Linked DNA regions of Xenopus tropicalis. The protein of the gene in region 1 interacts with the protein of each later gene in a biochemical or structural test. Links are inferred from orthologs where the notes say so. Each region holds a gene or a part of one and is shown on either strand. Other genes may lie near its edges. The genes, in order: dmd.3 and dtna.

Region 1 (17,186 bases):
ACATTTCTAAGGGGGGGGGAGTGAGTTCTTAGCATTCTGGAGGGAGGGGGGAGCAGGAGAGGGGAGAGAGCTGCGTGTCTCTGGCAGAGGACACAAAAAATCTTTTGACAGAGAAGTCAGTACAGCGTTTCTGTGAGTGCTTATGGCTGTATTTACATAGACCTTTCTGATAAAGCTTACTTAGTTTTTACCTTTCTTTCTCCTTTAAGTCTACTAAAACATAATTTAAACTAAATTATATTAATGACTGATTGCACTGAATTATGTGTGATCATTGGCAAGATCACTTGGTGGAAAGCCTTCTCAGAAGTGCAGATGGTAAAAGATTACCAATATCCAATATTTGGCTCTGTAATAAGATGCTGGACAGGCAAGTGGCTTTTGGCCATATAGTGTTGACAGACAATGAAATGCAAAAAACCCCCAAAAAACTTAAATGCAGCTACAACATTCTTTTGAGCCTACTTCTGCTAGAGGCATTAAACCTTATGCCACTTGCCCCATGCTAACTTGTGGAGCTCAGATCAGGACAAAGTGTTGGAATTATTGGTGTAGAGCAGGGATCCCCAACCTTTTATACCTGTGAGCCACATTCAAATGGAAAAACTGTTGGGGAGCAACACAAGCATGAATAAAAGTTCCTGGGGGTGCAAATAAGGGCTATAATTGGCTACTTAATAGCCCCTATGTACACAGGTAGCCTATAGAAAGCTCTGTTTGGCTTTACACTGGGTTTTTATTCAACCAAAACTTGCCTCTAAGCCAGAAATTCAAAATTTAGCACCAACTTTGAGGCCACTGGGAGCAACATCCAAGGGGTTGGGGAGCAACATGTTGCTCACAAGCCACTGGTTGGGGATCACTGGTGTAGAGAGAGCAATTATATTTTAAACTAAAAGAGACAAATTGCTTGTTAACAAAACAGAAATTTGGGTTGTAAAATACCCAAGTTCCAACTGTCTTTGACCTATTAGTACCTTTATACTATAGGCTCTTCCACCATAACAAATACATTTAAAAAATAATCACTATGACGATAAGGACACAAAGCAGATAGAATGTACAGACAGAATAGTGGCAGTTACTGTATGTATGATTGTATGGTAAGTTTACCCAGACAAGAATATGTTTCTGCAAAATATTCTGCTTTGAAAGTTGGAGATCTCATCCCTGAAAGGCTTGGTGAGGGGCACGACCAGATATGCATAAGATATGCATAACATACTTTGGAGTAATTTAGTAAGAGCTTGTTGTGAAGTCTGTCTGGTGTAATACCAATGCATTAATACCTTATACACATTTTCTTTTTGTCTAGTGCAGCAAGATATTTTCTTTATGTTTACCCAAATTGATGTTCATTCTGCTGCGAGAGGCCTCCTAATAGCATCCTTCCATTTAGCTGTATACTTATGGATAGGGAATTTACCTTCAGGCGGGGAAGTAAAAAATATTTATATATTTTATAGTTTATTTCAAATGACACCATGGGGTGTTTCCATCAATAAAGGAGGTTAAATGCTGCATTTAGAAGAGAATTTAAAAGACAAGGTTTTTTGTTTGCAAACCATAGAAGCATATTGATATGAAATATGTTGTTTAAGAGATTTTCAATAAGTCTCCAAGTTGTGCTTGGGACCCATTATGACCTATGCAATAGGTGTGTGGCTTCATAATATTTCTAGAAAATGTGTGGAATCCCCAAACCTCCTTGGTCTATTGGTGCTACAAGAGTCAATCAAGCTTTGCCATGGTTTATAGTTTATGAACATTATCAAATATGGTATTTTATTATCCATTAATGCCTGTGCTGTTGCTTTCTTTACTCTTTGCCAATGTTATAGGTGAGAGGTCAGCAAATAGCTGAATTTTGTGACTGAAATTTAGTTGTGGTTAGTGTTGAGAGAATCTGTCTGGTTTCGAAATTGCGAAAATGCTGAAAAATTTGCAAAACATTGAAAAATTTGCGTGCAACTTTTTTACTCACTCCAAATACATAATAGATGATGTCAATGGGCATTTTTCTCACTCAAATGCATTAAATTCAATGGATGTTTTTCTCAATGGGCATTTCTTCTTACTCCTACCATGCAAACTTTTTTCTCCAAATACATTAAAGTCAATGGGCATTTTTTCTTACTTCTACCACAAAAACTTTTTTTTATACTGTAGTTTTGCAAACAAATTCACTGATGGTGAAATGTGGAATTTTGCAGAGAATCCATGTCTGCCGTAAAAATTAACTTATCAATAGTTGTGGTCATTGAACATGTCTAACAGTGCCTCCTTGCTATAAAAGTAGTAGAAATATACCACTACATCCTGAGAGAGGCCCATAAAAAAGCGTCCTGAACCCAGGGAGCAATTTGCCCTATCCATGCATCCACGTATATCACGCATTCTCTGAGATGTCAGGGCAGATAGAGGAATATTGCTGTTTTTTTGTAACTCTTGATTGCCTACATCCTCTGGTTCTCCTCTTTTCAGTTGTTTTTTAATTGCTAAACTTTATCTCTAAAATAGGTTAGTTCTTTTTAGTGGTGTAACTTTAGAGGAAACAGACTTGGCAACAGGGGGTCCCAGAACACAGGATCTGCTTCCTCTATAGTTGTAAAGTCTTCCTTCCCCGCTTCCAAGTAGTAGAACTGCTGGGTAGAGAAGACTCATTTAGTCAGAAGATGCAGGTGGGGGCGAAAGACAGTGGGGGCAGGGAGTGGGTGGTTTCGTGTATGTATTGCTGTGCACCAGGCCCCTCCAAAGATTATTTTGTGGGGGGGGGGGGGGAGACTGGTACACACTAGTTACACCACTGATTCTTCTTATGCATTTATCTGACGTTGTGCTAAATTATCTGTGTGGTCACCCAGTTCTGCCCAAATTGCTTGTATTTTCTTTATTGCTGCAGCCACTGTTGCAAGTACAGTTTTAGCTATAGAGGCGGTTAGGTGATCTTCTAATGTATGCAGCTGATTGGCTAATATCTGTGCAGTATGTAAAGCTTTCTCTGGGATTTCCCAGTAAAATACTAACCTGGAGTCTTTTGATGGTGTTGTGTGTAAAGGGGCTGTGTAGCAAGACATAGGGGCAGATTTATCAAAACATGATTTTGAATCCCGAATGGGAAAAATTCGGATTGGAAATGAAAATTTCTGAAGATCTCAAATATCACGAAAATGCTTATGAAAAAATCGTATCAGTCACGATAATATTGCATTGGCTTTCCGAAAGTCCCGAAATTTTCGTACGGAATGATTGTAAACAGCGGCAAAACCGATCCGATTTTTTCACGCTAAAAAAACGAAAAAAGTTGCGAAAGCGCCGAAAAAGTTGAGCAAGGTACGAAAAAGTCGAACAAACACTCGGAGTGTTCGTGGATACGTAAATGTGCCCCATAGAATGTAATGGAATATCAGATAATTTTGAGTGCACCCAAGAACCTAGAAATTTGGCATTAGGCCAACAGTTTCGGCAACCCAGGTCAAGATGACTTTATTTTAAATTTAGTGCCCTGTCCTGTTGTTATGTCATGGTGAATATCAAAATGTGGTAAGAGTGTGATCATGCCAGAGTTCCCTTGGTGTCAAAGAGAATATCACCAGATGGCACCAATCACAGCAACTTTACAAGTAGTAATATTAATGTGAGTAATGTATGTTAGAATGGTTGTATAAACTTTAATGGTGATGTTAGTGCATCCTGTATATTGGATTAATTCAGCCCATGCCAACCAAATATTTTGAGATTTATTGTAGTAACTAGATGTCTGTCAATATTTATTAGCAGTAACTAAACTCCGGTGCCACAGTTGTCCTACTTCTGTCTTTTAATATCCTGTGCAGACTGGCACCAAGTTATTTTAAAATGGATGTGATACAGCATTTGGAGTCATCCAAGATAAAGTGCCTGTATATTGCTATCCTTTAATAAACAAAGATAATATACATAAATAACAATACAGCTTACTGTGTAAAATGGCTGGTAGAAAGGGCAACAAAAATTAACTTACTTTCAACATTATACACAGTGCAATGTTAAATCCTACAAAAATATAGGGGAAATAGGCCTAGTTGCAGACTACGACAGGGCAAGTTGCAAAATACAAGAAACAATAGTGGAAAGCAGACTAAATGCACTTTACACTAGTGATGAGCAAATGTTTTCACCAGGATTCAGGGTGAAATTCCTCATTTCACCATTTGTGAAACTGCATCAAAAATTTACCACAACAAAAAATTTACAGAAAAACAAATGGCTATTGACGTAATCTTAATGTATTTGGAGTGAGAAAAAAATCTGCATGCATTAAAAAAGCCATGCACATGTTACCTAAAAAGTCACGCTGCAGGAGTGAGACAAAAAAGTCTCGGGCATAAGAAAAAATTGTTGCATGTAAAAACAAAGTTGACTCCAATGGATTTCGCAAAGTTTTGCAAATGTTTAACACTACTTTATACCTTTCCCAGATGGTTGCACCTTCAGATAGTTCTTTGTGCTACAAAAGTCTATGCCTTTATCATTAATGAAGCTCCACCAGAATTTTTATGTGTGCAATGAGCAGCAATTAGGTGTCCTTTAGTACAGGATTCCCTTCAGGGGTGCTTCTGCCATGACACCAGTTGAGAAACTCACCTCAGGCAGCAGCTTTTTGTCACCAGGGGTGGCAAAAAATGCTCCTGGTAACTTTAATAGCCCAAATTCTAGTTTTTAAATTGGAATTTCAGCTATTCAAGTGCAGAGAGCAAAACTGCGCTCTCTGCACTAGTGCTGCAGCCCCCCATCAAACTGAAGTTCTTAATGCTAGGCTTGAGGGGGCAGCACCAGAAACTCCACCTCAGGCAGCCAGGGGCAGAGAATTGCCCTTGATTCCATTGATTCTGAAAGCAATGGAATCAGCACTTTGTCTTGGATTTTTAATCTCACAGTAAATACTATGCAGGACCAGAACTAGGGGCAGCCAGTAGAGAAATATGCCTAGGGTGCAGCTGCCAGGTCAAAAAAATGACCAGGAGATGTAAAAAGAGTTCAAGTGATACCAGCATGGTAGGTTGTTGGGGTAAAGTGGTGTGAGCAGTGGCAGCAGCAGGAGAAGGGGCTTGGGCCTTGGGGGAGTGAGCCTTGGGGGGTGGGGGGGGGACAGGCCAAGTAATATTGTCTTTGGTGCTAATATATTTGGCTTTGCTCTGATCCTGACGTGAGCAACGTTGGATCTTGACCCGCCCTTCTCCCAACCTTAACCCCTTTGCCTGTTTTTACTTACCAACCCCAATAAACACACGGACACCAATTCTTGGGATAAAATGGCCGCAGAACATTTATTAATAACAATTAGAGTTTTAATTTAAAACATATCATAAGAACAAATAAGATAGAAAACAACTCATGAACACAATACAAATGTTTGTATAACAAACAACCAACTTTGAATAAACATAAACCATAACATACACCATAACAAGCCAATAACTGCGCAGCGCAACTGGCGCTGCCAGCTGCCCTTCCAGCCCGGAACCCCCTACCCAACAAAACTCACCTCCTAATCCACTTACTTACCCCTGAGGTTCCAGGCATGCCATCCCCAAACAATTAACAAACTCCCTTCCTAACCCAACCATTGTTTTCCCCCAACTGTATCACCCCGCCAACACCACTCGTTGCCTCCATCTCTATAGGGAGGGAGGGTGGGCGTTTTCCTATGCTGCCTAAAATGGATGAGGAGCGGGAACGTTTTCCAGCTATTTATACCCCAAACGAAACAACCAATCAGATAAAAAACTGGGAGTGGCTATGTCTGTCCTACTGCTACTGCATGCCCCTGCTTCCCTACGTTTCCCTACAGGTCATTGGGCTACTTTATATGCTCAATTGCTCAGTGGATGAGTCCTAAGGTGGTTCAGTAGGATTAGTATCTAATCCCTGGTGTCTGGCACTGCTAGGGCTATGGCTAGGGTTCATTTTGAAATAAAAATAAAAATGAATCCCATATACTATACTAAGAGCTTCTGAAATATTTGCATTGTTCTAATAATATACAGTAATTAAGGCTTGTGGCACACAGGTGATGTTGGGTGCATTGCAATCCACTAGAGAACCATGGCATTTGTACATCTGAAATATTAATGCTTCCTCTAGCAAAGGTAGATGAGTGAGTGCTTTGGAGTGGTGGTTACCTGTGTCTGACATAAGAAGAGTGTCTCCCATACTTTGCTATGGAAAGTGCTAACAGCTGATTATGTGTTTTTTAACTGCTGTGATTCTCCTTCACAGTACTGCAGCTGTCACCTAAGAAGCTGTAAAGAGATTAGTGTTTAGCAATAGAAGTACAATAATTCCACTATTATGCAGAAATGTATCCAAATGGTTTCATACTTCTACTGAAGGATCGCAAGTTCCCATAATGAATCAGAAAGTGCTGGGCTCTGCCTGAGAGTCAAAACAAATAGTTTCAATAGAAACTCCTGCCAAAACAACAGAAACAATAGAAATAAAAAAAAAGGTTCCCTGTTGCCAGAAGTGTATTATAATGGATGCATTGTATTTTGTAAAGCAAATTTAAGTGGTGTATTCAGTTAATAGAATTAACTTAAAAAAAAATATTTAACAAAGAGACAATTTGTATCACAAAAAGTGACCAATTAAAACACTGTACAAAATTTTTATATATTTCTGTAAATATTATCCTTTCCCTTTTACCATTTAGTGATGGTCTGTGTGCTCCATCAGAGATCACCTGACAGGAAATAATGCAGTCAGGGCCGCCGTCAGAAATCAAGGGGCCCCTCACAACAAAATTTTCTGGGCCCCCCCAATGGCCCTTCCCCCAGTGACCCCTCCCATCAGTTACCAAGCAGCCTATGCAATAAAATGTCTCTTTAACAAATGGCACACACTACACAGAACACAAATGAGTTTTATATTTGTTAAATCACATTTATTACTATTATTATTAATACAGTACAGGCACTATACAGGCACCCATTAAACACCCATTATACACCTGCATCCTCACTTTTATAAGGTCGCGCCCCGTGCGTACTGACGTCACGTGTACACACGGGGCGCAGCCAATCAAATTACCCGCTGACCACAACCTGCAATGTTCAGGGGTATATTTCCTATTAGCTGTGCACCCACAATGGGGTATTTTTTGCCTGTTTTTGCACATGACAAATTGAGTATTTTTAATAGAAAGCTTATTGCATTAACACCTAATGCCATGTCTTCCATTTTTGGAAAATTTTTCTTTCTTCATTTAAATTGGATCAGATTTTTTTGGTAGGATTGGTATAAAAAGTTATAAAAGGAGTTTAAATAGGTACATCATATTCAACTGGCAAATCATTGACAATCTGTTTAAAAGGCCATTAGTACTGTATTTCTGTAAACATATAATGTGTGTAAACAATAATTGTTTGCTGGACACAAATGGCTCCATTGAGACTGTGAAATAACAGATGTTTCTTTGTCTATCATACTTCTGAAGGAAGGAAAATAAAAATGCTGTGAAGGGAATTGATTTGAACATCTAGAATAATGCACCATCATTAGAACAATAGTTATTCAATTAAAAAGAAATACATTTTCCTTGGTAAATAAATAAAGAAGTTGAGATAATTGAGGCGAAAGCCCTATAGTAGAAAGCCATGCTGAGCAAGAAAGCAAAGAATCTAATGTAGTGCAATTCCTAAGATACAAACAGCTCCTCACTACTGAAACACCAATGGCAGTTAAACTTATTTGGAAAAACTAAAATTATATGGTTATTACCCAAAGGGCAATATAGAATAATGCATGGTTTAATCTACAATAAAATAACCATTATTGCTGTTCCTCTCTTTCTCCTCTTGTAGCTTTATTGCTTGCCTCCCAGCACTGTATATTACATTATATGCTATATGTGCAATGTAAACAACTAATTGCCCAGATTAGTAATGACAGGAAAGAAATTAGCATGCAAGTATGCAGAAACAGGTGAAACAGATAAATAAAAAAGAACATACAAATAAAAGCTGAGGGAAGTAGCACAGTCATAGAGGTACTAAGCAGATGCTTAACTCTAAAAAACATATTTGAAATTATTTGTTTAAAGTTTTTTTCTCTGTACGGAACCCTGACTATATAATATTTACTCCAAACTGTTACCAGATCACCTTTTTATCAGCATAATTACAAAGGTTATATAGTATCATTCCACAGGATCAAATGGCATCAGGCCTAGAATGCTTTCCATTGAGTCCTTTAGATTTATAATGACATCAGCTTCCTGTGAATTCTTTTTCATTCTTTTCATTCCTTTTCGTCAGTCTCTGGAACATGACAACTTCTGCAGAGTGCTGCATTATGTTATATCTCCTGCATATTTAGGAGAAGAAGGAGAGGTAAATAGTAGTTATACAAGCTGGAAAAAAGGAGTTACTCTGCATTGTTATCCTTGTATATATTCACCATATCTAGCAAAAGCCTAGAGCTTTAACATACTGTACCCACGGTGCTGTCTGCCACTAAAATGGGTGTCATGGGAGACTATTGTCTGTCAGATACAGTATATTCAATTATGACTAAACCAAGTTAAAAAAAAAAACTAGACCACTACTAATGAGAAAATTCATGAAACGGATTTCTTGCTGCAACCTTTTTCACAGCTATTTTTTCCATGCAGAAAACATTGGAGTCTAGTGGCGTTTTTCCGCAGTGACTTTTCTGTGTAGAAAAGGTGACTTTTTCACAGCAAAAAAATGTTTGCTGCAAATATTTGCGGTACTTTTGCAAAGTATTATCTAAAGGCAAAATGAGGAAATTCGTCTGCAAAAAATTGCTTATTGCTAGTGACCAGTGCTGCGCTGTATTTGGACTTTTTTCATCAATACAATTAATGAAGGCAATTTCCCTACTGAACCTTTCTTCTGTCTCCAGTACAATGGGCTGCTAAAAATAAAACAGCACACACATCTAAGCTTTTTGATCTTTAAAAAAGTTTCCAACTGAACATTTGAAGGTGACGGTCTGCCCCTACTTATGTAAGCAAGGAACAACCCTTACTAATTACTGAGCAGCACTTGATCTGTTTTTTTGTTTTTCTTTTCTGCATCTAGAAAATGATTGCACATTATTAGACATAACTGCAAAACAAACTGCATTGGCTAAAGAGATTGACATTTTTGGCATCCTTTCCACCCTTGTGGAATACAGTATATATTGAACACAGACTCATGATATTTCAGCTGCAAGCAACTAAGTGAGATATAACTAAATTATGTTTTCCCTCTGAGTATAGTTTGGTAATTTGGTATTTTATGGGTCTTTGTATTGATTGTGCAAAGCTACGGAAACAGTTTCAAGAATCAACAAGTTGATGCTGATTTATAGTGTGTCAGGTTTAATATTCACTACTCCACATTCATGTTCTTGTAGTTTATACGGGGCTAGTTCTATTTTAAGGAAGAACAGAGATCAGCACCTGTTTTCTCTGATCTGTGGGGTTGACAGTTTATTCTCCTGTTCCAATGCAGACACTATTTGCAGTTTTAAAAGGCTGTCTGCTTTAGTGGGAATAACACGTTACCTAACTCTCTAGAGTAACTTGCTTTGCTGAGAGAGAAGTAAGACTACCAAAAACTTTGGGTGTTTATTCTGCAGCTTTGAGGCCCGTCAGTGAGAGCTTCTGTACATTATGGCTGAAAGTGGATATCAAGAGGAGCCCAGAGGAGATTCTGCTGCGGATGAGTTCACTGATATGATCAAGAACAGATCCGGTAATGTCAATATTAGTTTCTTTACTTCAGTGTGGGAACTTAAAAATAATAAATCTGGCTTTATTGTGATATGAACTGTGTAAGATATTTAGCAGCAAAGCTTCCAGTTACAAGTGTCTGCTGTAGTGCAATACTACTTAAGTCATTCTGACATTTCGCTTACTAATGCAGCAACATTTGCAGTAATCATTTAAAGATCTTTTAAAGCCTTTTGGGTTTTATGTGCAGCCCAGAAATCACAGTATTTGTGATTGAAAAATATTTACAATAAAAGTAATAATAAGAAAAATAAACTGCTGATAAAAAAATGTGTTTTATCGGCAGAAAAAATACACGCTGGCTGTATATATAACTATAAAAGGGACTTCCCATGCCTTTGTGTAGTATCCAATTTTCTGACAGCTCTTTATGCCATTTGTGTAATGGGGCAGGTCATTACAGCTGTAAATGGAAGCGACTGCATTGCTTTCCCATAAGATACTGTTTCAGCTGCCATGCCTCACTCAGCTTCATTATGGAAGTAGATCAGCATAGTAATTTATAAACCATTCAATGTTTAGTTTATTTACAAGTTCACTAAGCATGCTATATAAGGCTGAAAAATGTACTATAGCACTTTCATGGCTATCTTAAATTTACTGCTCATACATAGTGAATGCATTCAGATGAACTGTAATAGGGGGAGAAAAATTAACAGCTGTGGGGAAGAGTAAATCTCTTACAAGTACACCGCTCTCATTTTACTCTTGTGAACTTGTGACTTGAATAAAGTTCATGCAATGCATAGCATGGTAAGTGCTAGAAATACGTCCCAAATCTCGTAGGATCACATATACGGTACAGATATACTAAATACATTATAAGCACGCTTCACCAGCCTATTTGACACTCACATGTGTTCAGATGTTTATTCAACAGTGGCTTTCACACTTAGTTGACATAAATCCCAGGGAGTGTGAGGTATTTTAAAACAGAGATTTATAGGTGGAAAGTGCACATGTTCACTGAAAGGCTGTACATATATATGGAGGAGTATAAAAATATAATTCAAATAAAAACTATTTCAGATTGAAAACTGTATCCAGAATGAACAACAACAAAAATTGGCTTAGACACAGGATGTACTGACAATTAATTGGGGGAATGCAAACATATTGGCCAGCATTCAGCCTTTCATAGCCACACCCTGTTTATCAGATCTTGAACAGGGAAACCTACAAGGTTAATGTTAGCAGTGGAACTGAGGAATAGGAAAAGTATGCAGCTACGTGTGCATGATTGAACTATAGCACATAGCAAACATTTGGCCTTAGATTTCTGTTCTAGTAAACTTAAAGGGGTTGTAAATGCAACTATAACTTTTTGCACAAATTAAATCAAATTGAATTTTAAGAAACTTTCCACAATCCTGACACATTTTTAATTATGTCAAGCATATTTACTATTCAATGCTGTATTTTGCTGTTTTTTTGCTATTCTCTGCATGTCCGATTCTTGCTACATGTATCATTGAAACAATGTTACAGTAGTCAGCACCTTCATCTGTGAAACCAATTCCTACAATGTCTTGCACACTCTGTGATTAACGGACCCACAAAGATAGAGATTCACAAAGCATTGTAGGAACTAGCCCTGATGCCCAACATAAGCATTGAGAGTCAGTCACTTACTGTACATGATGTGCCTGGGTAATCAAAATCCTTCAGTAGGCTGGAGTGGAGTACTGTTTACATTAGTAACCCAGGCTTTTGAAGGACTTCACCACACCCAGCCCAGTTCAGGATCTAATGTAGGCATTCATGGAAGGAAATATATAAGCAATGTTTTACATTTTGATTTATGGTGATACGTTGCACATTTCTAGCTTGCACAGTTACTATGTTATGTACTATTAAAAAGCCAAAACTGCAATTTAACTTTAGAATTGTAGTTTGCATTATGTAGGTTTAATATCTTTTATTTTCAGTCAAAAGTTTTACTTCTGTCATTTATGCATCCTTTCATACTATAAATACAGTGTGGCTATGTAACACTGTGCAAGTACTGGATTTTTGTAAATCCACACATGGATTGTTTTTGATTTTTTGGCAGGACTACCTAAGTTACCTGCACCCCTAAAACATGTGACATTCAATTAGAAAATGAAGTGTCTGAACATAGCTTTGTGGCCTAAGAAGCACATTTCTCATCTCATTTCCAGTGGGTAACTTTAGAAGGTGAACTAGGGAATATTTCATTTTAAAATTATTTGCATCCTGAAACCTACCAGATCTCAGGTGGCTAAAATTTTTAGATATATTAGCATTTAAATGTAAATTTTAAAATGTACATTTAAAATGGAAATGTAATTTCACCTTATAGACCATTGCTCGGATGGGTTAGCAATCTGGACTCCCACCTGGGCAGGATTTGGGATATGACCAGGACAGTAATTGTAATATTAACCTTAAAAAAGAAAGTTGAAATCCTTATGGTGCATTTGTTGGCAGGAAAAGGTCCAGCATTGTAAAAAGGTCATGAAAAGGAAATACCCAAATGTGTCATGCCCTTGTTCCATGGGATTTATCTGGTATATAGCGTAGCATTGTACTTGTACAAAAAGTGTTAATGTGAGTTTGTTTGGTGTGTGATAAGGACTTGGCAGTGACATATTTCATTTTTATCCGTGACCAGGTATTTGCACTGCAGCTGAGTTCACAGTTGCATGCACTCTTCTATGTTTGTTCTGCATGCAAAATAAAATACAGGTGCATAACTGGTGTGTGAAGAAAATATGGTGCTACTGCCTCAACGGCTAGGTGCTATTGCTAAGTACTTCTCATGCTCACACAAAGCTGATGTACATGTATAGGCAGTATGCCACAATTTAAAGAACTTATACTGCATAAGAGGGCTCCATTTTACTCCTGAAATTTGTACAGAATGGCTGGGATAATTAGCAGGTCTAGAAAAACATACACAACTGTTGAGGTGGTTGGTTAATGCCTTACTCAAACTATATTTAAGGTTTTGCTACACTAGTACCCGATCCTGGTGAGGTTAACAAAATGGTATTATGACATATTTGCTATGTAACACCACTGGGACAATATCCCATATGTTGTGGGATTGTCCATTTGCAAAAAAAGCTATAGTACTATAACATGCTTGATAATATTTGGGAATTAAACAGAGAAATAAACTGTATATAGCACTACTAAACAAACCTTCAGACACTGTTAGGAGATTTAAATGTAGGTTCCTTTTTTCATGTTTCCATAAAGACACCTATGGGGGACTATAATAAAAGGGATTCACAGCAAAATGAGTGCAATGGAAATATTTTCCATTGTGCAAACAATGTTTCCCTTGTGCAAATTTAGTACAGCTTTTATGAATCCATGAAAGATCTCAGTGACCGATCCAACAATAGAAAATAGATTGCACATGTAATAGTCTGTACAGTTCTGTTTTCCTGTTTATGACTTTCATTACAATGGTCATTTTTTGGCTAAAAATCCTTTATTCTGATACAACATTATACATATCAATGCTGTGACTGTTAAGGTACCAGAAAGCAATCAAAATACTGAGACTGAAACTATGTGCTTCTCTTCTCCCTATTTCTGGAGCTTTCCTTATACCTTATAAAGATAGAAATAATGAGTTGCAATAGCAATTAAAAAGGAATTGTGCAAAACTGTATGTAATTATTGTTCCTATACTTTAGACAGCATTATAATTTGAAGTTAGTAAATAACAATTTAATCCATTTTTATGGATTTACTATAATTTCCATGATTTATGTGACATACTGATTTGTGGTCCTGGCCTACTGACCTCAAATTGATCTACAAACGTGTTGCAAAAAGATTGTTTGGGTTTTTTATTAGCTGCTCTAAATTTCGTGTGGTATTTTATGTTTAAGTGATGGGTTCTATGACATAATTTATAATGGTCTTTATAACCTAATTTTTGAAAATAGAAAAATAAAAAATGTTATTTTAAGCTATAACCATTGCCTATATTATGGTGTAATTTATTATATCTGCAGCAACTGAAAATCAAATAATGATTTAGTATTAACAGTCCAAATGAGACTGTTAGGCCTATGGCACACATAAAGTCTTATTTACAAACACAGGTGTTCTATTTCACCTGTAAAATAAACCAATAGCAACCAACTAGCAATTGAATAAACTTTATGAAGATTGCTCTTCATGTCTTTATTTCTGTTTTGCTGTTCAAACTACTGTACAACTGACTGTATACCTGTGGTCAAATGGGGAAATGAATGCAATGTGGTCTTCCATTTGGAAGAATATAATGTACAGTACAACCGATGGCAGATTTCTGGGCAGCATTGGAATGGATCAATTTAACATCCATATTAGTAATTGAGTGCTAAAATCTCCACTCCCCAGGTGTTTTGTTGCTGCAGCTTTATGGATAATTATACAAAACATCAGGAATTGTCTTGGATTGCTTCCCTTAATGGTCTTGGTAATTACCCATGAGAAAGCTTGAGTGCAATTAAAGTTTAGCATACCGAGAGACAAAGTGCAACATTTCCCAGGCAACCATCCCTGTGTGCCAAAAAGCCTCAGTTGAAAGAGTGCAAAAACAACTGCACATTTAACTTCTTAATATATTTAACTGTTTTTTCTTAAATGGTATGATAATTTTCATAATCAGTAGAACTGTCATATCAAGGCTTATATTATATGTATGTTTTGTTGTATTAACTGTTCATGATAATAGATGTAGCTACCACATGCAGGGATTACCACTGAAAAAAACAAGAGTTCCAGGGGAAGGACAAATGAATTATTATTTCCATAATGGTCCCTATAGGGAGTTGGGACCATATGGAAATGTTTTGTATAATATGTTCCCTGTAAATGTACACAGGGGTATTCATTTCGCTTCAAATTCATTACACATTTGGGTGTTCCTAATTGGTTTGGCATTTGTCTATGTAGGTATATAATTTGGAATGATCCTATGCAGAGTGATTAGCTGTGTCTTGGTTAAATGCCAATGTAATGTACTAATTGCTAATCATTTTTTGGTTTATTGAATGCCTACTTTTTCCCATAATGACTGTATACCAGGGCAAACATCAATGCAAAGAGGAAGGGTTCTTGACTAGTCTAGTAGTATAAATTTATAAAGACATGTAATGGAATGTAGAGGAGGCCTTAATTGCATGTGTAGTTTCAATTATTTAATTCTATATGCCGGAATTTTTACATAATTGCATCTATATATATATATATAAAGTTCCCAATTACGGAAAGGCCATCTCCTATAGACTCCATTATAACCACATTATATTTAATTTTTAAAAATGATTTTCTTTTTCTCGGTAATAATATAACAGTACCTTGTACTTGATCCCAACTAAGATATAATTACCCCTTATTGGTGGCAAAACAAGCCTATAGTGTTATTTAATGTTTAAATGATTTTTAGCAGACTTAAGTTATGGAGATCCAAATTATGGAAGGATCCCTTATCTGGAAAACCCCAGGTCCTGAGCATTCTGGATAACAGGTCCCATACCTGTATATATATATATATATATATATATATATATATTTATAAATGTAATATGTTTAAATTCACTAGACAGCTTTTGGCTCTTTTCTTTGTCAGAACAGATTAGCATATTCTCTCAGTAGTTTTTGAAGAGGCTTCCAGGGATATTTCATCAAAGCTACAAGTGTCTGAGTGAATAAAGTGGGTTTTGTGAAGTTACAATTTAAAGTCAATGTTGCAGTCCAAAATCAATATTTGGCCTGGATCAGATTCTTTTGTTTTGATGTTAATTCACCCAAAGTTAATCACAGGATCTGTGAAGTCATTAGAGGACAATGGGAAAATGAACAATACTCCTTAGTGCTGCAAACAAACTATCATCAAACTAATTGATCCTGGTCCAAAAAAAAAGGTACACATTAGGTTTCAAACTAACTTCTGGTGCATAGATCAGAGTTTCAACAACACACGGAAGCACATCATTATGGATATAAAAAAATATTCTACATGGAAAACAGGTTACAATCCCTATTGCAGCAGTTAAAGGGCACATTTAAGAGTGCCCCTCCAGTCATACATTGCCTTTTCTCTAGCTGGAGTAGTTTTCTGTGCTCAGCCCCGGATTTCTAATGGGGGCGCCCCGAGGCCACCCCCATTCTGTGCCCCCCAAGCCCCCCCCACGCATGCGCGAACACGTGGAAATGTTAATTTATGTATTCATATATTTACGAGGAATATTCCTGTACATATTAATGTACAGGGTAAGTTACTTCCCTTGTATTTTACTGTACATTTATGGGGCAACAAGTAGAATACTATATATCCCCTATTTATAAAGATTGTTGCTCTTATTACAGAAGGGCACATTTTGTGTGATCAGTTTGTAAAAGTAGACAATCTAATTCAAAATATTTTAAAAGATGCAGAAAGCCAAATAGCAGATATCAGCAAAAATAAACTGAGAAATCTTGGTGAACTTCACTGTACTTATACTGTATAACAGGGGTCCCCAACCACCGGGCCGGGAACCAGTGCTGGGTCGTGGGCTGTGCTGAACTGGGCCACCTCTGGTCCTACATACCTGATATCTCAATTCTCCAATGTGTTCCACAGCCATGACAACAGCAATGTGAAGCCCTGGAAGCTTTCTACTGATTGCGACAAGGGCCAAAGTACTGTACTTAAAGTTCCATACTAAGCATCAGAGGATGTCAACCCTTAGGTGGGAGTAAGAAAAGCAAGGGTGCTGGGCGCATCTAGTTGAAGGGAAACAAGCTCAGGTCCCCCACTGAGTTTGCATTATGATGAGCTGTATTATATTTTATAATATAATAATAATAATAAAATAAAGTGCAATAATAATTACATTTACATCATATATGTAATAATTCAATTATATACTATGCATTGGCTGTGCCAACCCCACAACCCCGGTCCTTGGAAAAATTGCCTTGCTTGAAACTGGTCCATGGTGCAAAAAAGGTTGAGGACCACTTCTGTATAAAATGCATTTTGTATTATTGCACCATTTATATGTTAAAGTTCCCCAAGTCTCTTAGGTAGGACTATCACAATCTTCTGCTATATAATTGTTAAGGCTGTATGGTGTGGTTGGGGTTAAGGGTCTGTGTGTGTGTTGTGGCCAATTATCATCCAGCATAGGTTTTTAAGTCCAGTCCAGTGTTCCCTCCTTGTCAGTTTAGTTTGGCTCCTGGAGTGTTCATGTGTGGAGTGTAAACCTACCTTCAGATAGTTAGAAAAACTTGTGTATGATTCCTTCCACAGAATGAGATCACTTGGCCAACAGTCCTATATGTGTATTGCAAGATTGTTTATTAATGTGGACTGTTAGATTTGTGAATGTTGTACAAAGGTGAACAACCCCTTTAACATCGACCAAACTACCTGATTAAATCTGGA
Region 2 (16,448 bases), on another chromosome or scaffold:
TGAAAAAAAAATCAAGCTCGAAAATTGATAAATCACCTCCTTATACAGAGAAAAACTGTAGAAATCAGGTTTATGGTAGTTTCTCACTTTTACAGATTAGAATACAGGTATGGGATCTGTTATCCAGAATGCTCTGGACCTGGGGTCTTCTGGATAAGGGATTTTTCCGTAGTTTGGATCTCCATACTAAAAATCATTTAAATACTAAATAAACCCAATAGGATTGTTTTGCATCCAATAAGGATTAATTATATCTTAGTTAGGATCAAGTACAAGGTACTGTTTTATTATTACAGAGAAAAAGGAAATAATTTCTAAAAATTAGAATCAATTTTTAAAATCAAGTCTATGGGAGATAGCCTTTTCTTAATTCAGAACTTTCTGGATAATGGGTTTCCGGGGAACGGATCCTTTACCTTTACAGCGTTGTAGTGAAGTAGGTTGAAGTATCTTCTCTTCTGTTTGATTTGTATACTTGAGACCTAAACAGGTTTGCATTTAAATATTACGGTAACTCTTGGGGTTACCCATGCTGGAAATGGATTTGCAGCCAGGGATGGTTCAGTGGCTAGGAGAGAATAGAAGTGCTTTTATGTGGTACTATTAGAAAAGAATGAGATATTTTTCCATACAAGGCAATGTCTCCATATGACTTCTTTGTTGCTTTTCATGTACTGAGTTTTCTCTAAACCCCTGGCTTGTTTGTTGTTTTGCAGCAGGCTCAGCAGAGAGGAGGAGCTGATATCTCCTTTACTATTGATGCAAATAAGCAACAGCGACAACTCATTGCAGAGCTTGAAAACAAGAATAGGTACTGACTGAAGATGTTTAATGTAGTGTATTTGTTGTATTTTGTATGTATTTTTATTAATTACAGTTCCACCTAAGCTGATCAGAAAACCCTGCACTACACTGATGAGCTTCAAGAAAGGCAAAACCGGTCTGTAGTTGGGAATCTGTTCAGCTATTATTCTGGCTTCTGCTTTAAAACCCAGTGGGTGAGCTGTAGCCTATAGGATAAACCCATGTAAATTGGATTTTATTTAGGAGTTTGGAATTCATTCCCAGAATTCCTTTTGTTTATTAATTACAGTACAACTCTACGCCTTTCCTGTTTTATGGTGTACTTTTCCCTACCGCAGTATAAATCAAAACATGGCAAAATCACCAAAGCAAACTCTGGTAGCAGATGGAAATCTAAATTAGACTTGCTATTTTCCCCAAACTTAATACTGAACTGATCCTTTATGGGTCTGTTCATTTTTAAGAACTGCCTTAAAGGGGACCTGTCACCTTAAGAAATAATTCCAAATTCTTTTCTGGCATGTTAGTTGAGCAAATAAACTTCATTTACACTATATAGATAGTATAGATCTTGCTTCCTTCAGTCTTGGAACTATTCAATCACAGCAAGCAGGCAGCTGCTATTTTGTGGACACTGTTAGTAAGGCAAGCTTTGCATCACCCCAAAATCTTGTTGGAGGACCAGATGCCCATACCCATGCACTGGCTACATAATTAGGTGATGAGGAGGGAGGGGAAAAGTGAGAAGTGCAGTGACATCTAGGAAGTGCTGAATAGAAAGCTAAAGGTATTGTCTGCCCGTCTTTATGTCTAAGGCATAGAGGCGGGGCAGGCAATATATGATTGACAGCTGGGATTTTTAAATGCCTTTATAATGGATATGGATGTGTTATTAAAAAATGGAATTTGGTTATTCAGCTTCTTATGTCTGGGTGACAGGTCCCCTTTAACTGAGCTGTAAAATCTATTGCCTCTTCACCTAAATGTTATTCTTTTCCATGATTGTCATAATCAGTTATATAGTAGAGTAGACTAAATAGTTGATGTTTGAAATAAAATCATCTTGAATGAAGCATCTCCCAGAAATACCAAAACCCACCGCATTCAACTGTATTGTATCTGTAATAATCACAATATTGACTTTTCCATCGTAAAATGGTCATATGCTTTCCTTGTCACATAGTTCTCACCTCCTCTTCAATTAAATCCTGCTTTGTACAGTTTTTATACAGATATAGTATAAAATACTAGATTGCACTTTTGCAACAGTACACCTCATTTGCTAGCCAATTTTTTTGAGGAGGTTGTGTTTTTTGATAAAGAAAACTATACCTCTAGGATAAATACTTAACCAACAGATATTAAAGAATCTTACCAAACTGGAATATATATATACATGTGTGGGATCCCTTATCCGGAAACACATTATCCAGAAAGCTCCAAATTACAGAAAGGCCATCTCCCATAGACTCCATTATAAGCAAATCATTCTAATTTTTAAAAATGATTTCCTTTTTCTCTGTAATAATAAAACAGTACCTTGTACTTGAGCTCAACTAATATGTAAATAATCCTTATTGGAGGCAATACAAGCCTATTGGGTTTATTCAATATTTAAATGATTTTTAGCAAACCCCAGGTGTCGAGAATTCCCATACCTGTATATATATATCTGTAAATGGTGCCCTTTTATATCTTTCACCTAGAGCCACCATTTTGTGATAGTCTGTGTGCTCCCTCAGAGATCACCTGACCGGAAATAGTGCAGCTCTAACTGTAACAGGAAGAAGCGTGGGAGTAAAACAAAGAACTTAGTCCAATAATTGGCTGATGTGACCTAACATGTATGTGTGCCCTTGGTTTGCTTGTGTGAACCATGATTGGGGCCCTTAGTACTTAAAATTGCAGTTTTCTATCTAGGATTACCCAGTGGCAAATACTACTAAAAAAAAAATATTAAAAAATTATGTTTTCATGAAAATGGTTTTAGATGAAGCAGGGTTATGGACATGAGCTGTTTTATGCAATATAATTTTATAAAGCTGTACATTGTTAGGGGTATAGTTCTCCTTTTAATAATAAACTTGTTGCTGGCTTGCCTTTCTCCATGAGGCTTTTTTCTTATTCCACTAGCCACAAAGGCCACCATTTGTAAGCCTACAAAAGGTTATGTGTTCTTCCCCTCTGCCTAGGGAAATCCTGCAGGAAATCCAGCGATTGCGAATTGAACATGAACAGGCATCACAGCCCACACCGGAGAAAGCACAACAGAATCCCACCCTCTTGGCTGAGCTGCGGCTCCTCAGGTAGAAGCAGTCTTTGTTTAAACATCTTTAACACAATACATACAGATTACTAAAATGGAATGAAGTATATTTATTTTCTTCAAAGGATACTAGCGCCAGCATCTGCATAGCTTAGTACCATACAAAGTCCAGTGCAGTTTTTGCCTCATACTTTAGACTTGTGTGGGTCTGATTGACTGGACCTTCTTTAAGACTGTCAGCCTAAATATTTACCTGCTTAGACCCACTACCTGGGCCAGCTTGCAACTTCACCTGCTAACCACTATTCACCCTAAGGGCTGTGACTGTAAATCGGCGGTGGGATGGCATACACGCAGTGGTGATTTGGCAAAATCACCGAAGTTGCCTTGAGAGGAAACGTCAGCGATTTCAGTGCCGCGTATGCCATCCCACCAGCGATTTACATTCTAGCTAGTGGGATGGCATATCGGGGAGATAAGTCGCCCGCGACAAGGGACAAGTGGCGACTAATCTCCCCGTCTGTCACAGCCCTAAATCGTGAACATGGTGTTATCTAAAACATGCAAGTGATATCATAAAAGGGGCAGGGAAGTTCACCTCTACCCACCCAAGGCTTGCATTGCATTGCCAGATCCTGCAAGTACCTGATACTATACAGGACTCATACTATGCTTATATATCAACACAATTAACAGGGATGCAGATTTCCTGTGTTGATGTTCTCTAGTGTATGTAACCGAGTAAATATGGTTATTTGTATTTCCAAAAGAGAATACTGCTTGGGTTATTTTTATTTTTTACTTGTCCGTCATAGATTTTACAGTGATTTATAGCTATGGCATAAAGTATGATGCTATGCTCTAAATACAAATGATAATATTGCAGTTTTCTCAGTGCTATTACTGTCCTAACAAAAAATGAATTGTTAACATACCGCCAGTTACCAAGGGAGCATCTGTATAGTGTTTTCAAGGAGTGGTAACTGTCTGAAAGGCAGCTTTGTTTCCATGACTACTAATTGCCAGATTCTGTGTTTTCTGATTGGGTCATTTTAGTTTTTTAATTCTCTTGAATGTCAGATTGAATAGGTCGCGTTAAGGGGTGTTCCCAGCTCTGTTTTCTTTAGTATTACAAGAGCAAGCAGAAAATTAACTCTCTGGATGGAAGTGATTGGGGTTTACAGTCCAACATGTAACAGTACAGGGTGTGGAATATAAATGTGTTATGTGTTATATATTAGTATTATGTAACATTCCTAATTAAAACAAAACCATAACCCTAAAACAATTCAAGCCTTAGCAGGTAATTAATGGTGTACTAAAGCTTAACAAAGAAGTAGAGTTACCAGCCCAAGGCAACCATAGCCCTTTAGCAATGAAGATCTGTGTCTCCAAATATACCCCCCAGTACCACCCCATCCCCTTACTTATTAACTGCACATGCTCTGTGCTGTTAGCTTAGGCACAGACTCGCAATAAACCGTATATATTAAATATAAAAGTCACAATACAGGGCTGATTAGTAGTTAATTTATATTCACATTACATGGCAACTCGGAAACCAGTGCAATTAACCTCAGCATTTAATAATCAGCACTGTAGTATTAGCTTCTATGACAGATGGACCTCATTTTCTGCTTGATGATTTGCAGTGACCCCAAAGCTTAGGTTCTCTACAGCTGCCCAGAGCACACTGAGTATTATGTGAGCTTTACTGAAGCACTTAACAAAATCCAAGATGGTGAGCTCCTGTGACAACTTTGGAGGCCTTCATTATTACTGTTATAGAGATGCTGAACCTTTAAGCTGGTACAGTAAGTTCAATATATGAAGAAAAAATGGCATTCCTCTATGTGACTATAGCACAGCCATTAGGGTACACTGTAGGACACTTTATGAGATTTAAGTTATGAGATTTAAGTGACTTCTTTTCTTGCCCTGAATCATAGCCCTGCCCAAGCGACATCATGTCCCCGCCCACTGATGTCACATCCCCGCCACCCACCCGGATTTAAGTCCGCCAAAAGGTGGCAACCCTTCCCCCCTTAACTTTCCAGCATCGAGTGGGTCCAGAGGGGACTGCATTGCTAGTATATACACTCTTTGCACTAGTAGAGACAAATGTCTGGGTTTACAGGAATATAGTTACCAGGAATACCTTTTTTTCACCCCTGGTAACTTACAGGGCGCTGTAGGTGATATTGATCATTTGTCATGAATAGGTTTGTGTTTGTAAGTAATTGTTACTTGAAGTTTCTAAACCTGACTATTTTGCCAACCTGACTGTCCCTCCTCACTCTGTCAGTTACAGCTTCTAATGATAACAGTCTACTGCTGCACAAATATGGCAGCCCCCTCATAGAGGAACATGGGGGATCAGATTGGTAATGTAAAAGCATCAGGAAACATTATAAAGTTCTTGCAAAGACAATGTTATGATATATTTAAAAGGTTCATACCTTGCCTTATGGCAGTTGCCCCCCTGATTATCAGAATAATCATTTCTTTATATAGCTCCAGCAAGTTACACAATGCTTTACAAATGGGAGTCTTACAATAATTTAACAGACAAGAGCTACAGATTAAAAATAGGTTTGAAGGGCCTTGTTACTAAGATCTTACAATCTGAAGGACCTTTGGATAGTGAAATGTCATTGGTCTGTAATGGAAGCAAGGCTAATGCAGCAGAAACTTACTTAACAAAAAATAAAAGTCTACCTTACTGTTAATGGCAATCAACACAACTTGAATACTAGAAAAGACTAAATAAGCCACACTTTCTGGTCCAGTTTATTAACATAGGAGGTAAAATAAACCAGTGCAGTTACCAGAAGCAACCAATCAGCAATTTGTTTCAATCAGTGTGCTTATAAAAATGAAAGCATATGCAAATAAAAGCACTTATCTAATTGGAAGTTATGGATAATTAGTAAATCAACCCATCTTTTTATATTTAAGAAATTGCTCTCCAAAGCAGTCTTCATGGATGCCCCTTCGCTGGGTGCCTATGGCCCTCATCTTACCCATCCACACAGGCCTTTCTGACATAATTTCTCTGTAATCCAGCCTACAAACTTGTGGTACTATAATAATTGACCCACTGGAATGAAAATCATTTTAAACAAATAGCATCACCTCAAGGCCCAGCCATGCAAAATTATTGCCAGTGATAATAAACAAACAGATTATATCAAGCTTTCTTCCCTTAACTGTCTCTTGTTGCCCCTCAGACAGCGCAAAGATGAACTTGAGCAGAGGATGTCTGCCCTGCAGGAAAGCAGGAGGGAGCTGATGGTGCAGCTGGAAGGCCTCATGAAACTTCTAAAGGTAAGAAGCACAGAATAGCATCAGGGTGAATTGAATACCCTGGTGTAGACAGATAGCACAATATAAGACTATTTGGCCTATTGGACTGCAATAAAGCTGACCTGTATGTGGCATGCTTTAGATTACATGAAATGCTTGCAGATTACTGCTAAAGAAGCCATATCTGATTTATTCTTTAAGAATATCCCCCCCCCCCCCCACCCCCCGATGGGCATAAATACCAGAAGAGAGTGACATATCATATGATTATCATTGAGGAGGCTAAAAATAAAATGTTTTCTTTTGGAGATATATAAAATATATTAAAAGGTAGCAGTAAATCTCCCTAAACCTATGATTGTCAGTCTGTAGGTATGAAGAAGTAAAGGAGATGAAAAACCAAATATAACATTTTGCAGAATGAAATTCTAAGCAACTTTCCAATGGCCATTAATTATACATTTTCAGTGATTTTTAGTTATATGTAATTGTACTTGCTAATGAGTGCAGCATAGGTATCTGCTTTGCTATTTAACTGCATTCTTGGCTGGAGCAGAAATGTCTACTTCAACAATTTTTCAATAGTGCATGTAGTGAGAACCAGCAGTGCAGAGAAGAGACAGACAAATGTACTTAAAATCACTTAACGTTTGTAATGAATATTGGAAAGTTACTTGGAGTTAAAATTTGCTGTTGTTTATATTTGGTTTACAAATTTTGCATTTTTATACAATACTTTCATAGGGTTAATGTGTGCTGATAAATATTTTTGCAGGAGCAAGAGCTGCGACAGGAAGTAAGTGCTGATTTTATAGGGTTTCTGTAACTAACACTTGTAATGAAAACAGCATGACATGCATTGGTTGGCAATGTTAGCATGTGTTGGAATAAGAAAATAACCACAAATAAATCAGATTAGCCAGATGCACATTTTACAGTATCTACTGAGTTTTCATGGTGTGGCAACATTTTTTTAAGGCAACTGAGCAGCCTCCCCTACATAACTTTGGATGTAGTACAATGTCCCTAGCAGATCTATTAACTACTCTGTTAAAGGGACAGTTAAAAGACTTCCTCATCAAAAGCAAACACTATTTGCACGGTCATAACCAGCATTCAGCAGGCCCAGCAACAGTTGGGGGGGGGGGTAGACAAAGACCCAGTAGGGTTGCCGCCTTTTTATAATAATTGTACTGGCATGGGCTGCAATGGGCTGACAGGGTGATGCACCCAGTGCTACTGCACACAACATAGTTTTGGGGAAAAAAGCTTAAATAAAATATATCTAAAAAATACTGCACTGATTGTGCTCCTAGTTTAGTATTCTTATTGCATAATTAAACATTAAATATATTTTGGTGGTGTAAACTGCAGAACTAGAAGTTTTAATATAATCTGAAAATAACACATAGTAAAGGTGGTCATATACTGAAAAATCCACTCATTTGGCTAAGTTGGCCAATGAGCAGATCTTTTCCCAACCTTGAGGTGGCCAAACAATTGGATCACATTGCCGGGGTACAGGCCAATTCGCTCCTCGTTCCAACAAGATTTTTAAACCTGCCTGATGGACATCTGGAAGATTTTTGGCCAGATATTGGTCAGATAGGCCATCTGAGGGCCCCAAACACAGGCCGATAAAAGCTGTGGAAGCCGTGTATGAGGCTTAAAAAGAAGCGTATATTGTATTCATATTATTTTCAAAGCTTTAAGCATACTGCTTTAATGTTTGCTACTTTTAAGGGTGTCTGCTCCTAAGCAGTTAAAGTGGAAACCATGTACTACAGAGAAACGTTTCTCCTGTTTGATTAAAATTACTAGATTAGAAGATAAGAAGATATAATTCTAAACAATATGTGTCTATTTCACATATATGTATATACATATATTCCCAGTGCAACATGTTTATGCAATATACTATGTGAGGCAAGCACACGTACATATTTAGGGTTACACTAAAGTTCCATGAAGGAAGCTGATAGCATCTGCAGATTTTTAGAATACAGCTACTACTGTATTTGTTACTATTTGATCAGTTTATGCCATTACCCCTTGTCTAAATGGAAGTGGCTCTCTCCTCTGCTGTCTATGCGTCTTTCTAACTGTGTTATCAAATTGCACAGGATAGAATTTTTTATGCCTTATACTCTGATTAGGCCATGAAATATAACATACTTAAAGGAAATGCTGTTTGGCCTGAAACGTTGCAATTTTGAATGGTGCTGTTTCCTCTAATGCATCCATGAACTATAACTAACTACAAACAGCTGGATCAGAATCATTGTACACTGAAGCTAATTCTTTTTTTGTTGGCTCTTATAGCCTTAAACTTGTGTTTAAGGCTATAAGACTAGCCTTAAAGTTGTGTTTTTTTTTGTTTTTTAGAATTTTGGTAATCCCTCTATAGCATTCTCTGTTGCACTGTTTGAGATATTACCTTATGGGGCCGATTCACTAAAGGTCGATAACGCTTATTGCATGCTTTTTTGCATTAAAAAGCATGCGATAATTAAGTCCCAATTCATCAAAGTTATTTACCTCACATTGCGTTAATTAGCGAATAGAAAAAATACTAATGCATGATTCACAAACACATATGAGGCGTTGAACACGCTAAAAATCACATTACTCTGTGCAAATACTAACACCTACTTGGGGCAGGCGGTACTTAAAGAAAATTGCGGTTCGTGAGCTTTTGGCAACACAACATGGACTTTGCAGTGTGATTTATTCAAGTCTGTGTTGGCCCTAGAGTGATGCAGCCTCCAGTTTTCAGGGAAATGGTCATTTTCAGAACCGTAGTTTTCCGAAAGTAATGGTTACGTGTGAAATATATCGCACACAGGGGGAAATAACGCAAGAAAAACACTCATCGCGAGTTAAATAACACAAAGAACATCGCGTCTTAATTACATTGCGTGTCCTTTTACTGAATTGAGCGCTAAGTCGCAAAAAATAAGAAGCGATAAAATTAACACATGCTATAAATAGCGGTTGTTTTGTCAACCTTTAGTGAATCGGCCCCTATGTGTATTAGGTTGACCCAGTGTTCCCATTAAGCCATGTGCTTCTGCATGTACAAGCATATGCACAAATTTTGAGACCTATGTAGACAGAAAATCCAAGGGTGCACAGGGAATTTGTGTTTACTACTTATTCAGACAAAGTGTGTCACTGTGTAACTCTGCCCCATTTGTCTGCAATAGTGTGTGTAACATGCTCAGCTGTGTAGCACTGGGAAACCCATCCCTGTTTGCTTGCAGTAGTGTGTGCAATAAGTTCAACAGTCATCTCCTTTAGTTTCAATGCTGATACTGTTACATTTATTAATAGCTGTTGCATATACTTTTGAAATACTACATAATTCATTCCTTGATAAAAATGAAAACCAAAATCAGAGATTCTAATGTATTCAAAGTGTTGAAAGTGTTTCCCTCAGTACAAAAAGGGAGACATTAACAGATAAGTTACATCTTTTTGAAAACCTGTTTATCACTTCCAATGGAAAGTGCAACTCGTAACCTTTAGTATGTGACATTCTTACAGCTTACTAACCGGGATATATGTATCCTTTCATGTCAGTATTAATCTTACACAAATATTTCAAGCCACAGTGAAAATGTGTCATTTGGAGTTTTTAATCTCATGCTTGGTGCCCGAAGCACAAGAAGAGTTCAAGGAGCTGACACCAAGCTGTATGTCGCTAAATGTTGTCAGTGGGATCTGGCCCCTTGTAGTTTGATTCCGCCAGGATGTGCACAGTCTAGATAGACTGCCATGTCTCTTCTGTCCTAAAAAAAAAACTCCCTTATTAATATGAAATTGTGCATCTCATACCTGACAGTATTAAATCTGAGTATGTGGTACTGGCACTTTTAAATGAAAAAGCTGGAGGCAACTTGTATGATATGAAATGCAAACTTTTGAGGCATAATCCTTTGCTCTTGGGGGTTATATTGCTAAACACAATCATTTTAAAAGCATCCAGTTTACAAATCTGGGATTGACAGTATTTATGCAGTATCTGTTTTTCTAACATCTTTTCTAACGTCTCATTTTTTCTTTTTACAGACTCAGGGGGCTGGTTCCCCTCGCTCATCTCCTAGTCATACCATTAGCCGACCGATACCTATGCCTATTCGGTCAGCATCTGCCTGCTCCACCCCAACCCACACTCCTCAGGATTCTCTGACTGGTGTTGGGGGAGATGTGCAAGAAGCTTTTGCTCAGAGTATGTTGCTAACTAATTTAAGCTTGTATTAAATGATTGTCATACTGTTTTTAAGAAAGGGAGGAAAACACTAAAAAGGGCAAAACACATTTCAGCAAGCAGCATACCAGCGGTGTAACTACAGGGCACCAGGCCCCCTGCAAAAAAGTCTTCAGGGGAGCCCGCAATGCACTGTAACCCCTAACCCTGCCACTCTCCACTCTGTGCCCATCTGTTTCCGTTCCACCAATCTTCTCTTGCTAGCTCTTAGGTAGAAGAGCGACTGGAGAGGGGGAATTCTCTAGAGCTATAGAGGAAGCAGATTCCATGGTCTGGCCCCCCTTTCCCCTGGGGTTGAGTGTGTTTCCTCTATATTTACATCACTGCAACATACCTTTTATCAAATGTACATGCAAACTGAGATGCTTGTTTTCAAACGTGTGCTTCGCTAAGTGATTTCCAGTTGGTGGAAGCCAGGTAAAGTTATGTTAAATAGAACTTTACTGTGAGTGCTGTTTCCTGTGGTTGGGCGGGGAATCGTGTAAACCACACAGTCACAACTGACCAAACTCACTGACTGGGTGCAGGAGTACTGCTGCCACAAGGCAAGTTGTGATTCTTGCCTCAGGCGGCAGAGCCCATTTGTTTATCAGGGATTGAAAAAAGCTGCTCCTGGTAGCCATGTTTGCCCAAATTGAGAATTTTAAATTGGGATTTCGGCTCTACTAGTGAAGAGAGCACTATTGCATTCTTGCGTACTCTAGTCATGCAGCAGGGCGGGGGGCAAGAGGGACGACAATGGAAAGGGGCAGAGGGGCCCGGACTGGGTGCCACAGACAAACTTAAGGTACAGCTTTCTCCTGGTTATGTTGCCTCAGACACAGATTTGAACAAAGCCCATTTATAAAATACTCTCAAAATGATGCTGTTTCAATTGAAAAACTAATGTCAGTGTAGCTATTACTGTAGCAAATAGGAATTAAGTAGTTACGTTAACCTGTTGAATGGGAGCATATGTAAAGTAATTTTATGCCAAAAATCTGCATTAAAGAAAGCACATACAGTATTTATAGAGGTGCCCAGTAGTGTAACTATAGAAGAAGTTGGTCTGCTCTCTCTCTATAGCTTTAAGAAATCCCATCTCCTCAGCCGCTCTCTTACCTACCCAGCGTGAGTTGCTGGGAAATGGGGAACACAGTGGGGTGGGTGTTTAAAGGGAGGGCTGGGTAGGGGCGCACTGGGCACCTCCAAAGATGTTTTTGCGGGGGGCCTGACACAGTGTTATGCCACTGGAGGTACACAGAGGTTCCACTTTGGTGTAAATTCCATATGTAAAAGTTTTGGTGCATGTAGTTATAAATGTACATAAACTAGAATTAACTTTGCACAAAGCAATCAACAGTGTAAAAGCATAGCTTGTATTTCTGTGCCACTTATTGCTCCACTTTAAAATGATCCCTCTAAAATTCAGTCTGTTGGTGTTAAGGGAGAGAAGACCATTTGTCCTGATTTCCCAGGGTTCCTGGGGTCCAGACTGTAGATAAACGTACCAGGAACGCTTGTTGGTCGGCTGCCAGCCCAGTCCCCAATCCCCTGTGTAAATACCTTGAGTGATCCAGTCAAGATAAATTTTTCTCCTTGTGTGGCAAACTGGAGAGGTATCACATGATGCTTTTTCACTTAACTCTGGATCAGTTAGGCTGGTTTAATTTACACCAAAACGTGAAATGGATGCATGTCTTGAAACTGAAACTTGTATTTTTTAAAATCGTTTAAAAAAGTTGTTGTCATCAAGCTGCAACTCTAACAATCCATCAGGTTTGGGTGTTAGAAGGGGGTGCTTGGGAGATATAGTTTAACAGCATTCTTCTCCACTCGGATCATTTTCCCTAGTTTTACATTGCCCCTTTTCATCTAACTCTGACCCATAACGTAAGCTAATCTGATATAAGAGCAAAACATTGACAGTCTAAATATTACAGTTTTTTTTAACTATCTTTGCTTATATTAACTGATATTCACATATATTTTCTCTTCTTCTCCAGGTGCAAGGAGAAATTTACGTAATGATTTACTTGTAGCAGCTGATTCCATTACCAATACTATGTCTTCTCTGGTTAAAGAGCTGAAGTCAGGTGAGTGTCTAGCGCTAAACACAGTGAGGTCAGTATACACCCATATACAGCACTGCTCAACATGACCACAGTGAATAGAACTTGTGTTGAAAATGTGTTCTTTTGTTTTTTCCTGAACAACCTCTCCCCGCATTTCCGCCTCGCAATAGGTTAATTAAAAAGCGATATTAAGCTCTGCATAAACAAACCCATCCTTTACCCAAACTGATGCGAGGAGCAGCTCATTAACCAATTGGCTTATCTTTGGATTGGTAGCTGGTAGCCAGGAAGCTGGAAAGTGAAAGTTGGCTTCAAATTCAATCTTTGACATGTTTTGTGAAAGAAATATAAAAACCAAAGATATTTCTGTAATTAATATGAAATAGTGTGTTCAGCCGTCTTATTCATTGAGTTTATACTCAAAAAGATGATAGACTGACCCTTTAAGTGATGTTCTTCAAAGAAGGCTTCTATGAATAAGGTCACTTTGAAGGAGGCTTCAAAGAATTCACAGTAACAATAAAAAACAATAAAAAACACTGGCACTTCTGGCAAGTAACATGTCATGTAAACACAAGCTATTTCAGTTATTTACAGTTACAGTTATATCTAGATACTCTGAACTATCTGTCTGAACCACAGTTACCTGGTGATTAGCTCTGCAAAGTTTGGGGACCTTAGTATTAATATATAAAGAATGGCAGCAGTTTAAATTTAAACATATGAAGTCTATAGGTGAAATCTGATTGGCTGTTGGCCCCGCCCACTTTTCTAAACTTGGAACATAGTCACCCAGTGACAAACTGGGCAAAGTTTTGGGACCCTGACATTAAACACGTGAGAATGGCAGCAGTTAAAATTATCCCATTGAAAACAATGAAAGAAATGTGATTGGCTTTTGGCAGCCCCACCCACTTTTTCTAACATTGAGTATGTAGTCACCCAGTGACTGACTGTGCAAAGTTTGGGGATCCTGGCATCAAACCAGTAGACTTAAATAGGTGAAATCTGATTGGTTGTTGGTGGCTCCGCCCACTTTTCCATACTAAACCTTCGGTCCCCTAGTGACCAACTGTGAAAAGTTTGGGGACCCTGGTGTTAATTCTGTCAGAATGGCAGCAGGTTGAATATCCCCATTGAAAGTCAATAGGTAAAATCTGATTTGCTATTGGTGGCTCCGCCCGCTTTTTCTAACCTTGAACCACAGTTACCTGGTGCCTAACCCTGCAAAGTTTGGGGACCCTGGTGTTATTACTGTGAGAATGGCAGCACCCCTAAAACTGTAGGAGGAGTGGCGTTTAGAAAATGGGGGGCGCTAAGAATAAGAAGAAGAAAAAGAGGAAGAATCAGCTGAAGTTGGGGGTTTTCAGCCCAACATAATGATTCAGTTGGAATAAGCTTGCAGTTCTATTTTGTAATATAGCATGTGAAGGGAGCAGGTAGAGGCTTTTATAGACTGAATCATTTGATGAGCTTTCTGCTTCAGAGATATGGATACCCTTAACGTTTTAGTGATCAAAGTTGTGTCACTTGCAGACTCCCCAGGACACATACTGTAAATTAAACCAAATTCAAATTATTTTATGATTAGCAAAATAACTGAGAAGAGCATTCATGGTAAATATTGGCCTATTCAGGTAAAACAAATAGGTATATATTATAGCAGCCTTACTATAGCTACAATATGGGCTGTACATTAGCATGAACAAATTCTGACATTATTAAAGCCTTAACTTGCACTTCTGATTCATCCTGAATGAGGCTTGACATTTAGCATTTCCTTCTGCTTTACTGATTGCTGTTTGTACGTCACATACGGATAAATTAAGAACTTATCCTGCCAGGTGGGTGTTAACACAAGCTATTCAGCATCTAATGCTCTGTATGTGGGTGTTATTTTATCCAGAGAGCACTGAGTCGTTTATTAATACTAGTTATTTGCAAATACCTATGTTTACATTTGTCCAATAAGTCACAAGAAACTTTTGCACTTTATAAAGTGCAAAAGTCTCCTTTGGCATCACCTGTAAGTGTGGATCAGTGAATTTTCTGTATGTGGTTTGAGAGGGAAGGTAAACACCAGATAAACACCAGATATTTCTTTTGTAGATGTTGGAAATGAAACAGAGTGTGGTGTGGATACCGAATATGGCCGTGTTCATTTTGATGATTTGGTTCCTTCCCCAACCTCAGAGAAGGCATTCCTTGCCCAGATCCATGCACGAAAACCAGGGTTTAATCATCATTCTGCTGCTACTGGCAACATTCGCACTGACTTGTATGTATTTGTTTCAATGCATTACAACAATGACATGTTTCTTGCTAACAATACAGAGCCTTGGGCTTTCCTTTATGAAGACTGTAGAACATTCATAAGGGCAAAATTTGGAACTTTCCACAACCTAAAAAAAATGTTTTTATTAGAACTGCACTTGTGTCCTATGAGCTGCTGATGGTAAGAATACTGACCAGGAGTTCTCCACTAATTATCTACATCTAAAGACACCAGAGTTCCAACATCTCTAACCAAGAAAAATGCCTTGTTCCATGACAGGACCAAAATTCAATACTTGGTTTAATACTTGGACCTAAATGCAATACTTGGTTCAGTACATCTGGATTCCTATACACATGTATTCCATAAAAGGCAACGTTTGCCCAGTAGCAGTAATCCATGGCAACCAATAAGATGTTTGCTTTTAAATAGGTGACCAGAAAATTGTACTTGCTTATTGGTTACTATAGGTTACTGCCCCAGGGCAAACCTTTATTACAAAACCTCTTTTAGCTCTAAAAGTAGCCAAATGACAAGAGCAAATTCCCTTCTGTTTAAACTCAGTGAATACTGGGTGTCCTTTATATAAGCCCAGTTGTACTGCTTTATGTTCCAAAATCCCCATTTCAGAACAAGACTATTGTACCAACTGTGTGCCTATACACCATACATATGTAATTATGGAATCTATTATACCAATGTTTCTTAATCTTGGGGTTGTGACCAAAAATTGGTGTCTGTTCTGTCTATAGTGGGCCTTCGTTATACTTGTGATGAAGTATAATTTTTCCTACACTAAATAGTAATTAAAATGGTTGGATAATAAATTTTTATCTGATTCTTGGGAATACTTGGGATCTTCCTGACAATGGGTGTTTCCAGAATTCGGTATACTGTGTTGCCATGAATATGAATTTATTCTGGCTTATAAAGCATAAAGTACAAGGCACTTTTTCATTAGTACAGAGAAAAAGCAAATCACTTAAATAAAAGAATTGTTTTAGCACAGGTTAGATCAGTATTTAGCGGTCATTATCTTGCACTGAAGGTTGCACTCACAATATTTGTCTGTGATTCAGGAATATATGTCCTCTTAAAGTGAACATTATGTTGGACAGTGCAGCATTTCAAATCTGCTATGATCTTTTGCCAGTTTTGTTTTTGTTGTGTGAAGTCTAATGTATTATTTTAGCGCTTTGTGCCAGCAGTTCTTTTTAGTGTTTTTAGCAGCTGGAAACAATATACATTTTTACTTTAATCTCTGACAGTCAATAACATTTAATTTGAACAGTGCCGCTGTAATCATTTTATAAGATCATCTGTCTGCTTTTTAGGGGTACAGAGGGTTCCTACGGTCGGCATGATGATGAGACTTATGAGAATGACTCTGTGCGCCAGTTAGAACATGAGCTGAAGATGGAAGAGTATTTAAAGCAGAAGTTACAAGATGAAGCTTATCAGGTGATAATTCAA

Evidence for each region.
Region 2: the proteins of dmd.3 (region 1) and dtna form a complex in vitro, tested with the Homo sapiens proteins (3 studies listed by BioGRID and IntAct, with this or other methods). The link is inferred for Xenopus tropicalis from reciprocal best matches to the Homo sapiens genes DMD and DTNA.

What each region holds. Positions count from the first base shown.
Region 1 is NC_030678.2:107,306,997-107,324,182, forward strand, and holds the start of dmd.3 (dystrophin), read left to right. Parts: upstream 1-9,538; 5' UTR 9,539-9,664; coding exon 9,665-9,746; intron 9,747-17,186. UniProt on the Homo sapiens protein: Anchors the extracellular matrix to the cytoskeleton via F-actin. Ligand for dystroglycan.
Region 2 is NC_030682.2:112,818,106-112,834,553, forward strand, and holds part of dtna (dystrobrevin alpha), read left to right. Parts: intron 1-716; coding exon 717-811; intron 812-2,996; coding exon 2,997-3,110; intron 3,111-6,300; coding exon 6,301-6,397; intron 6,398-7,151; coding exon of another isoform or gene 7,152-7,172; intron 7,173-10,447; coding exon 10,448-10,607; intron 10,608-12,631; coding exon 12,632-12,721; intron 12,722-14,809; coding exon 14,810-14,978; intron 14,979-16,309; coding exon 16,310-16,436; intron 16,437-16,448. UniProt on the Homo sapiens protein: May be involved in the formation and stability of synapses as well as being involved in the clustering of nicotinic acetylcholine receptors.